Oryzias latipes: one gene and its partners. The protein of the gene in region 2 purifies or fractionates together with the protein of the main gene of each other region. This does not show direct contact. Links are inferred from orthologs where the notes say so. Each region holds a gene or a part of one and is shown on either strand. Other genes may lie near its edges.

What was found.
Region 1: the proteins of ncbp3 (region 2) and THO complex subunit 4 purify together in Homo sapiens (affinity purification with mass spectrometry; 4 studies listed by BioGRID and IntAct, with this or other methods). This does not show direct contact. The link is inferred for Oryzias latipes from reciprocal best matches to the Homo sapiens genes NCBP3 and ALYREF.
Region 3: the proteins of ncbp3 (region 2) and thoc6 purify together in Homo sapiens (co-immunoprecipitation; 3 studies listed by BioGRID and IntAct, with this or other methods). This does not show direct contact. The link is inferred for Oryzias latipes from reciprocal best matches to the Homo sapiens genes NCBP3 and THOC6.

The regions. Positions count from the first base shown.
Region 1 is NC_019866.2:15,369,691-15,373,445, forward strand, and holds the start of THO complex subunit 4, read right to left. Parts: upstream 2,947-3,755; 5' UTR 2,800-2,946; coding exon 2,560-2,799; intron 1,210-2,559; coding exon 1,051-1,209; intron 966-1,050; coding exon 818-965; intron 724-817; coding exon 660-723; intron 569-659; coding exon 388-568; intron 305-387; coding exon 290-304; 3' UTR 1-289. UniProt on the Homo sapiens protein: Functions as an mRNA export adapter; component of the transcription/export (TREX) complex which is thought to couple mRNA transcription, processing and nuclear export, and specifically associates with spliced mRNA and not with unspliced pre-mRNA.
Region 2 is NC_019872.2:24,111,328-24,114,982, reverse strand, and holds part of ncbp3 (nuclear cap-binding protein subunit 3), read right to left. Parts: intron 2,088-3,655; coding exon 1,988-2,087; intron 1-1,987. UniProt on the Homo sapiens protein: Associates with NCBP1/CBP80 to form an alternative cap-binding complex (CBC) which plays a key role in mRNA export. NCBP3 serves as adapter protein linking the capped RNAs (m7GpppG-capped RNA) to NCBP1/CBP80.
Region 3 is NC_019866.2:289,528-293,282, forward strand, and holds the start of thoc6 (THO complex subunit 6 homolog), read right to left. Parts: upstream 2,917-3,755; 5' UTR 2,902-2,916; coding exon 2,764-2,901; intron 1,983-2,763; coding exon 1,891-1,982; intron 1,814-1,890; coding exon 1,749-1,813; intron 1,646-1,748; coding exon 1,542-1,645; intron 1,472-1,541; coding exon 1,434-1,471; intron 1-1,433. UniProt on the Homo sapiens protein: Component of the THO subcomplex of the TREX complex which is thought to couple mRNA transcription, processing and nuclear export, and which specifically associates with spliced mRNA and not with unspliced pre-mRNA.

The DNA of each region.
Region 1 (3,755 bases), on a different chromosome or scaffold from region 2:
ATATACTGCAGGTTTTTATTACAAGTTCCATTCACTACAGGGTTGGGAGAAACTGAGAAAACTCCACCCAGCAGTTAACCTACAGTAAAACCATTCGATCAAAAAAAAAAAAAAAATTAAAACAAAAATAAAACACTTGGTAAAAAACACTTTGGAGTATTTAAAAGAAGAGGTTGGAACAATTTCAATCACATCAGAAGACAAGTGTAAAATATTCTGCACATCTGTAACAAGCACCCCTTTCTGTGCAGACAGGGAGGGATGACGTCAACTAGGATGGGAGGTTTCCTTAACTGGTATCCATCTGAGAAAACAAGAGGTGAAACAGAATTAGGACAGCTGCAAAACAACTTCAACAGAAGATGCTTTCTATTTTGACAGATGTACCCTGGCATTGTAAGCATCTAACTGGGCGTCAAGCTCTTCTGCCGATAGCGGTTGCTTGGGGGCACCGCCGCGCCCCCCCCGCCCTCTTCCTCTGGGACCACCTGCACCACGGACCCCTCGGCCTCTTTGCATCCCTCCGAAACCCCGATTTCTACTCATGCCTCCACCACCTCTGTTCATACTGGTAAAACAAAACAAATACACAAAGAAAATGTAATTGGGGTTTACACAACAGCCTGTTTCCAGTTTCCCAAGAATCCATGCTTACTTACCCCTGCATAGGCCGCCTCTGTGTGTCGATCTGTGATGTGACGAGCTGAATGTTCATAGGCCGCCCTAAACACAAATTAGGCTTTAATCTTGGGAAGATCAACTAATATTTAAATGTATTTATCTAATTAAATAAATCTGTAATAAAGTAGAAGAATACCATCAAGAGGAATGCCATTGTACTGTTTCATGGCTTTCAGGGCATCTGCCCTCCTTTCAAAGTGGACATCTGCCGTTCCAAGGCTTCTTCCTGATCTGTCGTAATGAACTGCAGCTTTCTTTAGAGTCCCAAATTCAGCAAAGAGTTCCTTCGATAAAAAAAAAAAAAGTCAAAACTAAGTCATCAATTAAAAAAAAAAAACATCACCATCAGATATGCTAGCTAAGTTGTACCTGGATGTCTGCGTCTGACACCCCAAAGTCCAGATTGGAGACGAGGAGCTTTCCTCCCGTTTCCACACCAGCTCCTCCGCCACCTCCAGCAGCCCCATTGAAGCCGCTGAAGCCGTTGTCAAACATGTCGTGCTGCCATTTATCGGGAAGCTGTTTGGGCTGCAACAGACGAAAGAGAACGCACCTGCTGACTTCAGGATCCCCTGCCTCTGTCTTTCACAGAGTCCACACGGCTGGGTGTTGGTGCAAGCAGGTGCTCCACTTCCAACACGGCCAGGGTGCTCAGCAGACCCCCCCATGATCCCTGCCCACCCCATCGTTACAATCACGTGAATCACTTCAGACAGAAATACACAAATTTAAAAATAGCTATTTTGGTGTTTTGATACAGAAAATTTCAATGTTTTACTACTTGTAAAGTAAGACAAAAAGCTGACAGATATTTAAACTAATCATTTTCATACATTAACTTTAAAAAATCTTTACATGAACCAAAAATCCGCCCCAAACTAGCTAGCATAACCCCGTCGTTTCTTGCCATCTGCTACTCCACCAACTGCTCTGTCTGTCGACATGCTCCTCAGGCACACGAGGGGGGGTCCCCGGCAGAAGCAGCCTCGCATCCCGCGTTGCGCCGCTTGTCCAGGCTCACAACAGTCCTTTGTCAGGCCACAATTCGACTTTCATGAAGAAATGTCTTTAGGATGTTACAGGTGAAGAACATTTTGGGGGGAAAGAAGCCGATAGCCCCCTTTTTAGTGCGTGGAGTACGCGGACGTCCATTTTGAAACCACGCCATTTTGATCGGGGCTTTGTTTGGGTTGCATTTATATTCATTCACACCCCAGGAGTGAAGATTGGGCTTCTTTTTACAAAAAAAAAAAAAAAAATAAAGGAAATTTGAGGGGATTAAGTATGAGTCCACGTATCCATCCATATGTGACATTTGGTGAAAAGCCTTTTGGGTGGGATTTTAAGAAACCCCGTCAGCCATTCCTGGGACAAAAGGCCGCCTTGAAGATGTAGCAGGACGTTGGAAGGAATGTGATTCCGTAGCAATGGAAAAAACGTGCAGGAACCTTCTCAGCGATGTAGGCATCCTTTTCTTTCCAGACCATTACGACACTTGGGGTAAAACATCATTTTGACGCCAAATTGTATTCGAGGTTGTTGGATTCAAAATGGCGCTGAGACCTTCACGATCCGGCAGGTTAGCCAATGTGGCTAACATAGTCGCTCCTCAAGCAGCTTCTTCTTGAAAAGTGGTGCGACACATATAGGTTGTGGGAGAAGGGACATATTATGCAAACAACCTCCATTTATGCTTATCCACAAACTATAGAGCTCTCCTCTAAGGGAAACTCAGCGGTAAGCAACCATTTTAATGGCTTGACTAGCTAGGTGATTAGCCGTCAAGCCAAATGGAGAAAAGAAGACGTAAACCAGGAATTTTCAGCTTTGACGAAGGTTTTTTTCCTTCCAATGCCCATTCGTCTAACTTTCTCATACCCTGCTATAAGGCGTTGGTCTGCCTCTAGCGCGGCTCAGGTTCTGTCGGGTCCTCATGGGGCCTGATCCTCCGCCTCGGCCTCCAAATCCGCCGCCGCCACCACCAAGACGCCCAAGGCCTCCTCCACGGGCACCGCCTGAGCCTCCGCGGCCTCGGCCTCTTCCCCCACGGGCTCCGCCTCTACTCTGCCTGTTCAGCTTGATAATGTCGTCTAGAGACATATCCATCTTATCCGCCATTATGCTGCCCCGATAACTCTAAAGCACTGTAAAGATTTAAATTGTCTTAAAACACCCTGGACTAAGCTGTTCCCTCTCTTCGTCCGTAGATTTACGCTCTCTGGTCCAAGTACTAAGCACAATGAAAAGCGCCCACAAGCTGTAGAAAAGCTGATTGGTTGGAGAACACGTACTCTTGACGTCATTACGTTAAAAACTACAACAACTCTTTACCGCCCTCTACTGGAAACTAAAACATTATTCCTAAAAAACGCCATACATGGGTGTGTTCAGTTCATAGTAACACTAAAAGAAGCAATCAAAGCATTAAATCAAACACTTTTAACTATATCTCTATAACGAAACTGAATAACATAAAAAAAAATACTTTTAGACTTTAAATTACATTGAAAACAAATAGGCTAAGGCACTTCTTTAAACAAACAAAAATGTGGTTTCATATTTCAAATGAAATTTGTATTGAATTGATTTTTTATTTAGATGTGACTATGACCTAAAGAAAACTTTCTTAGTTTGATCAAGAAACGTTATTATAATGAATGCTTAAATTGGACAACACCCTGAACTCTCAATATGCATATTATAAATACAAATTGGATCTCTTTTTGATGAGACACGTCAGCAAATCTGCTAAGAAGTTGAAATTAATTTGATCTCAAAAGATTAATTTTGCATAAAAAGATAGCAATTCAAAGTATTATTCAAAATTTTGCTCTTCTTCATACTACAATAAGGATTAAAAAAGCACCCTGCACGAGAATGCATGATTGTATTCTTCCTTCACATTCATTTGAAATATGTAAATAACAAATATAAATGCAACTCTATTGTTTTGATTTGAAGGTAGTAGTATTTTTAAGACCAACAACTTCTTCACCTAATTAGAAAACAAACAAAAAAGAAAGTTTCCCTCTTGTTCTTTTATTGAAACCTTTCCTACATTGATTGTTTCTGAG
Region 2 (3,655 bases):
GCACAAGGTCAAGTGAGAGACGAGGGAAGAAGGCACTTTGCTGCTTTGCCCGCCGCACGCATTTCAAGTGTGTCCAAGGCTGGATTTTGTTGTTGGTTTAATCTCTCTAGGACCGAGTTTGAAGGCTTGCTGTCCCGCATTAACCAGAGAGGGTAAAAATAAAAACAAGAAGAAAAATCAGGGGACCTTTTTTATTTTTGCCTCGCTGAAAATAAGAGAAATATGATAAAGTTCTGGAGGCCCAAGCCAGTTGGCTCCCCATCCCACAGCGGGTCTCTGTCTGCCGAGCGAGTCGCGTTCGGTGTGAACGCAGCTCAACCGTAACCCTAAACGTAACCCTTCCTTTGTGTTCGTGCAGCCAAGAAAAACGTTCAGCACGTGTTTGGAAAATTCCGTGCGAATATTCCCTTTCTTTCTGGCATTTTCCATGTATTTGCTCTGCAAGTCAACAATCTGCAAGAATCAAATCAGTTGGGAGCCACGGCCTTCCTTAAAGTTCTTTTTGGTGTGTCATTTTACTAAACAGCAGGGTCTGGTGCACACATTTGTTTTGTCATTTCACACATTGTTTGAAAAGTGTTGATTTCCATTCAGAAATGTCACTTTTCACTGTTTCTTTATCACCAAACAGAAACTTTGGAGAATAGAGACTGTCAGTCAACGTCCTGATACGTGGCTGAGTCTTTCAGCATGACAACCATCCCAAACACACGTTGCCCGGGTAACGAAGGAGTGACTTCGTAAGAACCAATTCAAGGTCCTGGAGTGGCCTAGCCAGTCTCCAGATCTCAACCCCACAGAAAATCTTTGGAGGGAGTTGAAAGTCTGTTTAGCCCAGCGACAGCACCAAGACATCACTGCTCTAGAGGAGATCTGCATGGAGGAATGGACCAAAATACTTACAGAAAGCATTTGGCTGCCGTCATTGCAAACAAAGGTAAAATGTAGTATTGAGTTGAACTTTTTTACGCTATCGACCAAATACTTATTTTCCACCATAATTCACAAAACAATTCTTTAAAAATCAGACAATGTGATTTTCAAGATTTGTTTTTTACATTTCATCTTTCATAGTTGAGGTAAAATTATGATGCAAAATTAAAGACCTCTCTCATATCTTTAAGTGTCACAATTAGCATCTGACTAAATTCTTTTTTATCCCACTATACAAGTCACACTTTTGGGAGAAATGTATTCAAAGAAATATAGGAACTAGAACGGACATTTCATCTTGAAAGGCAAATTCTAATAAAGGAATAAACAACAATAGACTGAATATATACCATACACACTTCACTACCGTAAAACAGTTTGAGCCAAACCTTCAGCCACTCTTTTCCCAAACTCAGGAATTCTCTCCCTCCTGCCCTCCGTAACATCGACTCATCTGTTTAAATCTGCCTTTTCTCTTTGGCATTGTGCTGGTAGCTATTGTGCACTTATTTTTTACATTAGCGCAACAGATGAACAATTTTTCAGATGACCATTGCATAAAGAACATAGTCACAAGTCAGCTAAGCTCTATACATCGCTTCAAATCACTAAATCCATTGAATCCTTCTTCCTCTGTGTCACTTTAGAAGCCCTTTTCCAAGCCTGGCATGCAGCTCTGTTCAAGTCACCACTTCCAATGAGAAGTCTATGGAAACGCACGATTCCAGCTTCTGCCTTCCAAACTCCTGTGTTCACGCGTAGCTACACACATTTTTACAACTGTTTCCGGGCTTTACCTACAAAACGATTGAACACGTGTTTAGAGTTAAATCAGGTAATTCCTGTAGGGAAATTCAGTTGTAGTAGAAGCACAATAAAATCAATACGAAATACACAGGGAAGAAAAACTCTTATATAAATGACAGGAGTTATATTCCAGCACTCACTCTCTCTCTTTTCTCAAACATCAGAAAATGCTCTAAGAACATGTTAAAAACACCATTTTCCCTGTTGTGGGTCTTTAAAAACATCTTAACTTGTCTGCAAGTCTCACCAGGAGTTGCTGAGGATGCCCTTCATGCCTCCATAGTTGGGGTTTCCGTACTTCATGTAGTATCTGCTGCGCCGCGCTGCCCCCGGCTCCTTCTTATCATCTGGAACCAAAACGACACGACATGAACACCACACTACAGTGTTTCCAGTTGTTATGCAATTTATATTGAAGCGATAAAAAGATGAAATTATTTGTTTTTCATGGATGATATTGTTTTACTGACTTCAGTCTCAGACATTGCGAAGATTCATTTAAAAGGTGAGTTTAGTTAAAGGAAAAACTAAAGAAGGACGTTCCAAATTATTAAGCAGACCAACTTTTTCAAGCAATATGGGAAAGAAAAAAAGGATCTTTCTGCTGCTGAACCGTGAAATAGTGAAATGCCTTGAAGAAGGTATAAAAACCTTAGATATTTCACAATGATTTAGGTGTGATCATTGTACTATTAAGAAATCTGTGGTTGATTCAGAACAGAGACGGGTTGCTGCAGATAAAGGCAGAATGAGGAAGATTTCTGCCAGACAAATACATGGGATTAAGAGAGCCGCTGCTGAAATACCATGACAAAGCTGCAAGCACATATTTGAAACTGCTGGTGTCTCTGGGGACCCACCAACATCAAGGTGTAGGACACTCCAGAGGCTTGTAGTTCTAAGTAAACCTTCTATTCGCCAAACAACACTGACAACCAGAAACGGCTGCAGTGGGCCCAGACATAATGAAGACTCATTTTCAAACAGTCTTGTTCACTAATGAATGCCGTGTAACCCTGGATGGTCCAGATGGATGGAGTAGTGGGTGGATGGTAGATGGCCACCATGTCCCAACAAGGCTGTGACGTCAGCAAGGAGGTGGGGAGTCATGGTTTGGGCTGGAATCATAGGGAGAGAGCTGGTCGGCCCTTTTAGGGTCCCTGAAGTAGGTGGAATTTCTGACTGACCACGTTCTTCCATGGTACAAAAAGAAGAACCGTGCTTTCCGTAACAAAATCCTCTTCATGCATGACAATGCACCATCCCATGCTGCAAGGAAAACCTCTGCATCGTTGGCTGCTATGGACAGAAAAGGAGATAAACTGATGGTTTGGCCCCCATCCTCCCCTGGCCTCAACCCTATTCAGAACTTTTGGAGAATTCCTCAAGTAAAATATCTCTGAGGGTTGGAGGCAGTTCAAATCCAAACAGCAGCTCTGGGAGGATATTCTGACATCAAAGAAATTCAAGCAGAAACTCTCCAAAAAGTTCAATAGATGCAACAATTGTGAAGCTACTACAAGATAAGGGGTCCTGTGTTCAAATGGAACTTGACCTATGAAGATGTTTTTGATTGGAATAGCTTTACATTTCAGTAAATACGAACATGTAGCAAACTACCATTTTCAGTTCTTTAGAATCTATCAAATGTTGTGGAACTCGGTTGTGTGTAATAATGTGGAACAGTGACTTTGAGGGTTTTATCTTTAGGTTGTGTTCAGTAACATTTACCGTTATTTATACTCTAACGCTTACTGACTTGAACATTCTGCTGACTGACGTTTGCGTTGACAATTACAGAGAAATCACAGAAAAATGTCATTGGTGTAATTTGGAACGTGCTGCAAAAGTGGGTTTTGTGGTTTCAGGTGGGCTTCAGGGTTTGAGAGTCGCCGTCCTGGTGGGCGTGTCCCCA
Region 3 (3,755 bases), on a different chromosome or scaffold from region 2:
TGTGTGCGTCTGTGTGTGTGCGTCTGTGTGTGTGCGTCTGTGTGTGCGCGTCTGTGTGTGCGCGTCTGTGTGTGCGCGTCTGTGTGTGCGTCTGTGTGTGTGCGTCTGGGTGTGCGTCTGGGTGTGCGTCTGTGTGTGTGCGTCTGTGTGTGTGCGTCTGTGTGTGGGTCTGTGTGTGCGTCTATGTGTGCGTCTATGTGTGCGTCTGTGTGTGCGCGTCTGTGTGTGCGCGTCTGTGTGTGCGCGTCTGTGTGTGCGCGTCTGTGTGTGCGCGTCTGTGTGTGCGCGTCTGTATGTGCGTCTGTGTATGTGCGTCTGTGTGTGCGTCTGGGTGTGCGTCTGGGTGTGCGTCTCTGTGTGTGCATCTGTGTGTGTGCGTCTGTGTGTGCGCGTCTGTGTGTGCGTCTATGTGTGCGTCTGTGTGTGTGCGTCTGTGTGTGTGCGTCTGTGTGTGTGCGTCTGTGTGTGTGCGTCTGTGTGTGTGTGCGTCTGTGTGTGTGTGCGTCTGTGTGTGCGTCTGTGTGTGCGTCTGTGTGCGCGTCTGTGTGTGTGCGTCTGTGTGTGTGCGTCTGTGTGTCTGTGTGTGCGTCTGTGTGTGCGTCTGTGTGTGTGCGTCTCTGTGTGCGTCTCTGTGTGCGTCTCTGTGTGCGTCTCTGTGTGCGTCTCTGTGTGTGCGTCTCTGTGTGTGCGTCTCTGTGTGTGCGTCTCTGTGTGTGCGTCTGTGTGTGCGTCTGTGTGGGTGCGTCTCTGTGTGGGTGCGTCTGTGTGGGTGCGTCTCTGTGTGCGTCTGTGTGTGTGCGTCTGTGTGGGTGCGTCTGTGTGTGCGTCTGTGTGTGTGCGTCTGTGTGGGTGCGTCTGTGTGGGTGCGTCTGTGTGGGTGCGTCTCTGTGTGCGTCTCTGTGTGCGTCTCTGTGTGCGTCTCTGTGTGCGTCTCTGTGTGCGTCTGTGTGTGCGTCTGTGTGTGTGCGTCTGTGTGTGCGTCTGTGTGTGCGTCTCTTTGTGTGCGTCTCTTTGTGTGCGTCTGTGTGGGTGCGTCTGTGTGTGTGCGTCTGTGTGTGCGTCTGTGTGTGCGTCTGTGTGTGCGTCTCTGTGTGCGTCTCTGTGTGCGTCTCTGTGTGCGTCTCTGTGTGCGTCTCTGTGTGCGTCTGTGTGTGCGTCTGTGTGTGCGTCTGTGTGTGCGTCTGTGTGTGCGTCTCTTTGTGTGCGTCTGTGTGTGTGCGTCTGTGTGTGCGTCTCTTTGTGTGCGTCTGTGTGTGTGCGTCTGTGTGTGTGCGTCTGTGTGTGCGTCTCTTTGTGTGCGTCTGTGTGTGTGTGTCTATGTGTGTGTGCGTCTCTGTGTGTGTCTGTGTGTGTCTGTGTGTGCGTCTCTTCGTGTGCGTCTGTGTGTGCGTCTCTTTGTGTGTCTGTGTGTGTCTGTGTGTGCGTGTTCTCACCTGTAAGTGGGTCTCTTGCTCCACAGGGGCTTTACGCTCTGAGGACAAAGGGCAGGAGGTCACCTGGAGGTCCAGGAGGACTGGGGTTCTGGTTCCGAGGAGCCTCACCTTCTTGCTGAGCTCGGTCCAGCTCCAGGCGCTGACCTCGCCGTTTCCAGCACTCAGCAGGACGCCGTCCGCCGACAGAAGGCTGAAGACTGGACCCTCGTGAGCTGCAGGACGAGACCCAACGTTCAACTAGAACCTTCTGCCGGACCCGGACCACGATCACCGGAAGAACCTTCTCCTGGACCCGGTCCAGCCGGACGGACTCACCTGTGAATGTCAGGACCGGTTTGAGGCTGGCGGCACCGGCATCTGGGCTGAGAGCTGCTGACAAACTGGAGACGGAGACACAGCTGAGAGCGCCGCCGTGCGCGCCCGCCCGCCCGTGCACGGCGGCGCTCGTTTCGCTCACCTGAACAGGCCGATCTCCCCGTAGTTGTTCCCGGCCGCCAGGAAGCGTCCGCAGGGAGAGAAGCTCTGAGAGAAGACGGACATGTGGAGCAGCTGGGGGCGGAACCAGAGTCCGGTTAGAACATCCAGAACAGCAGCTACTCATCCAGAACTTTGGTTCTTTTCTCAGTCACATTGAATCGGAACCAGACCGTGGTCTGGTGAAGTGCGGTCCGGCCAGCCGTCACTGAGTTTTAGCGTAAAATGTTTACATCCTGGTTTCTGGTCCACAAAGACGGTAAAGCGCTAATATCAGCCGAGTTATTTGATGTACAAATGTATTCATTAGATTGCATGTCTGGTCATTCAGCTCGTTCTAAGGTGACTGTCGGTGGATTATTGTTGGTTATGATGTTCATGACCATCACAGCCATATGGAGCTTTATAAACATGTTATACTATGGACGAGGAAGCCTGAGTGGGACTCGAACCTGAATTTCTCTCCAGTTAATTAGCGCTTTACCGGGACGCGTGTACCGTGAAGCATGATGTAACACCCCCCCCCCCTCCCCCCCAGGGGATGTGTCATAAATAAAGCCTCCATTAATATCAGTTTGCTGCGTTTGGCTGAAGTCGCTGCGGTTTTTCTACCAAATGTTTTTACTGATGTTCTGTTCAGAATGAAGGTTCTGGATCAGGTATTGGACTTTGTGGTTCTGTGGCTCCGTATTCCTTTACGGTTTATTCGCCAGCGGAAACGGAACCTGAGCGGGGTTCGGATGATGAAGCCGTCTGTCTGAGTCTCCTCCTCCGTGGACGGACTTCAGGCTCGGTTCGATAAAAGTGACACCGGGATTCTGTGCGCGCGAACCGAGTCCGTGTTCGGGTAACTCACCTCGACCGGTCCCATCCTGCCGCCGACCTGGAACCCCCAGAACCGAACAACACTGAACTTCCAGACAATAAACCTAGCGGCGCACAAGGCGCGAAAACCTCTGGCTCGAGAATATGACGTCACAGGAACGCACGGCATGCTGGGAGTTGTAGTGGTGTGACAAAGATTTCTGACCTGATGGCTCAGCAGGAACAGTTGAGCTTTTTCTAATCAGCTGCTGTGTGCGTGTGTGTGTGTGTGAGTGTGTGTGTGGGTGGGTGTGTGCGTGAGTGTGGGTGTGCGTGAGTGTGTGTGCGTGAGTGTGTGTACTTAGAAGGATTTTATTGATTCAACAGCTGAACCTGCAACCTCTGACAGATCCATTTGATCCAGTTTCTTACCGACAAAACCGAGTCAGAGCCGCAAAATCTCAGTACTCCACAAACGGTTCTGCTGCAGCAGAAGATCAGAACCTGAGCTTTAAACTGTTTCAAATATTGGGATTGAAAGCATTGGTTAGGAAGTTCACACGGACTCCACAAAGTATGTCTGCTTTCTTTTATTTTTTTCTTCAACACCAACAAAGGCTACAAATACAAAAAAGCCTTTTTACCCGTCTCAAACCCTGACCCACTTCTCTGCACACATTAAGCGTCTCATAGAAAAGACATAAATGCTGCTGTGGAGAAGGTCCACAGGTTCCTGGGGGGGCACCTCACTAACCACCTGTCCTCCTCCACCAACTCCACATCAAAAAGCACAACACCACAAACACACAACAACACCACAGAAACACAACATCAACACTGCAAACACACAACACCAATACCACAAACCCACAACAACATCAACACAACAAACACACAACAACACCACAGAAACACAACATCAACACCACAAACACACAACAACATCAACACAACAAACACACAACAACATCAACACAACAAACACACAACAACACCACAGAAACACAACATCAACACCACAAATACACAACAACATCAACACAA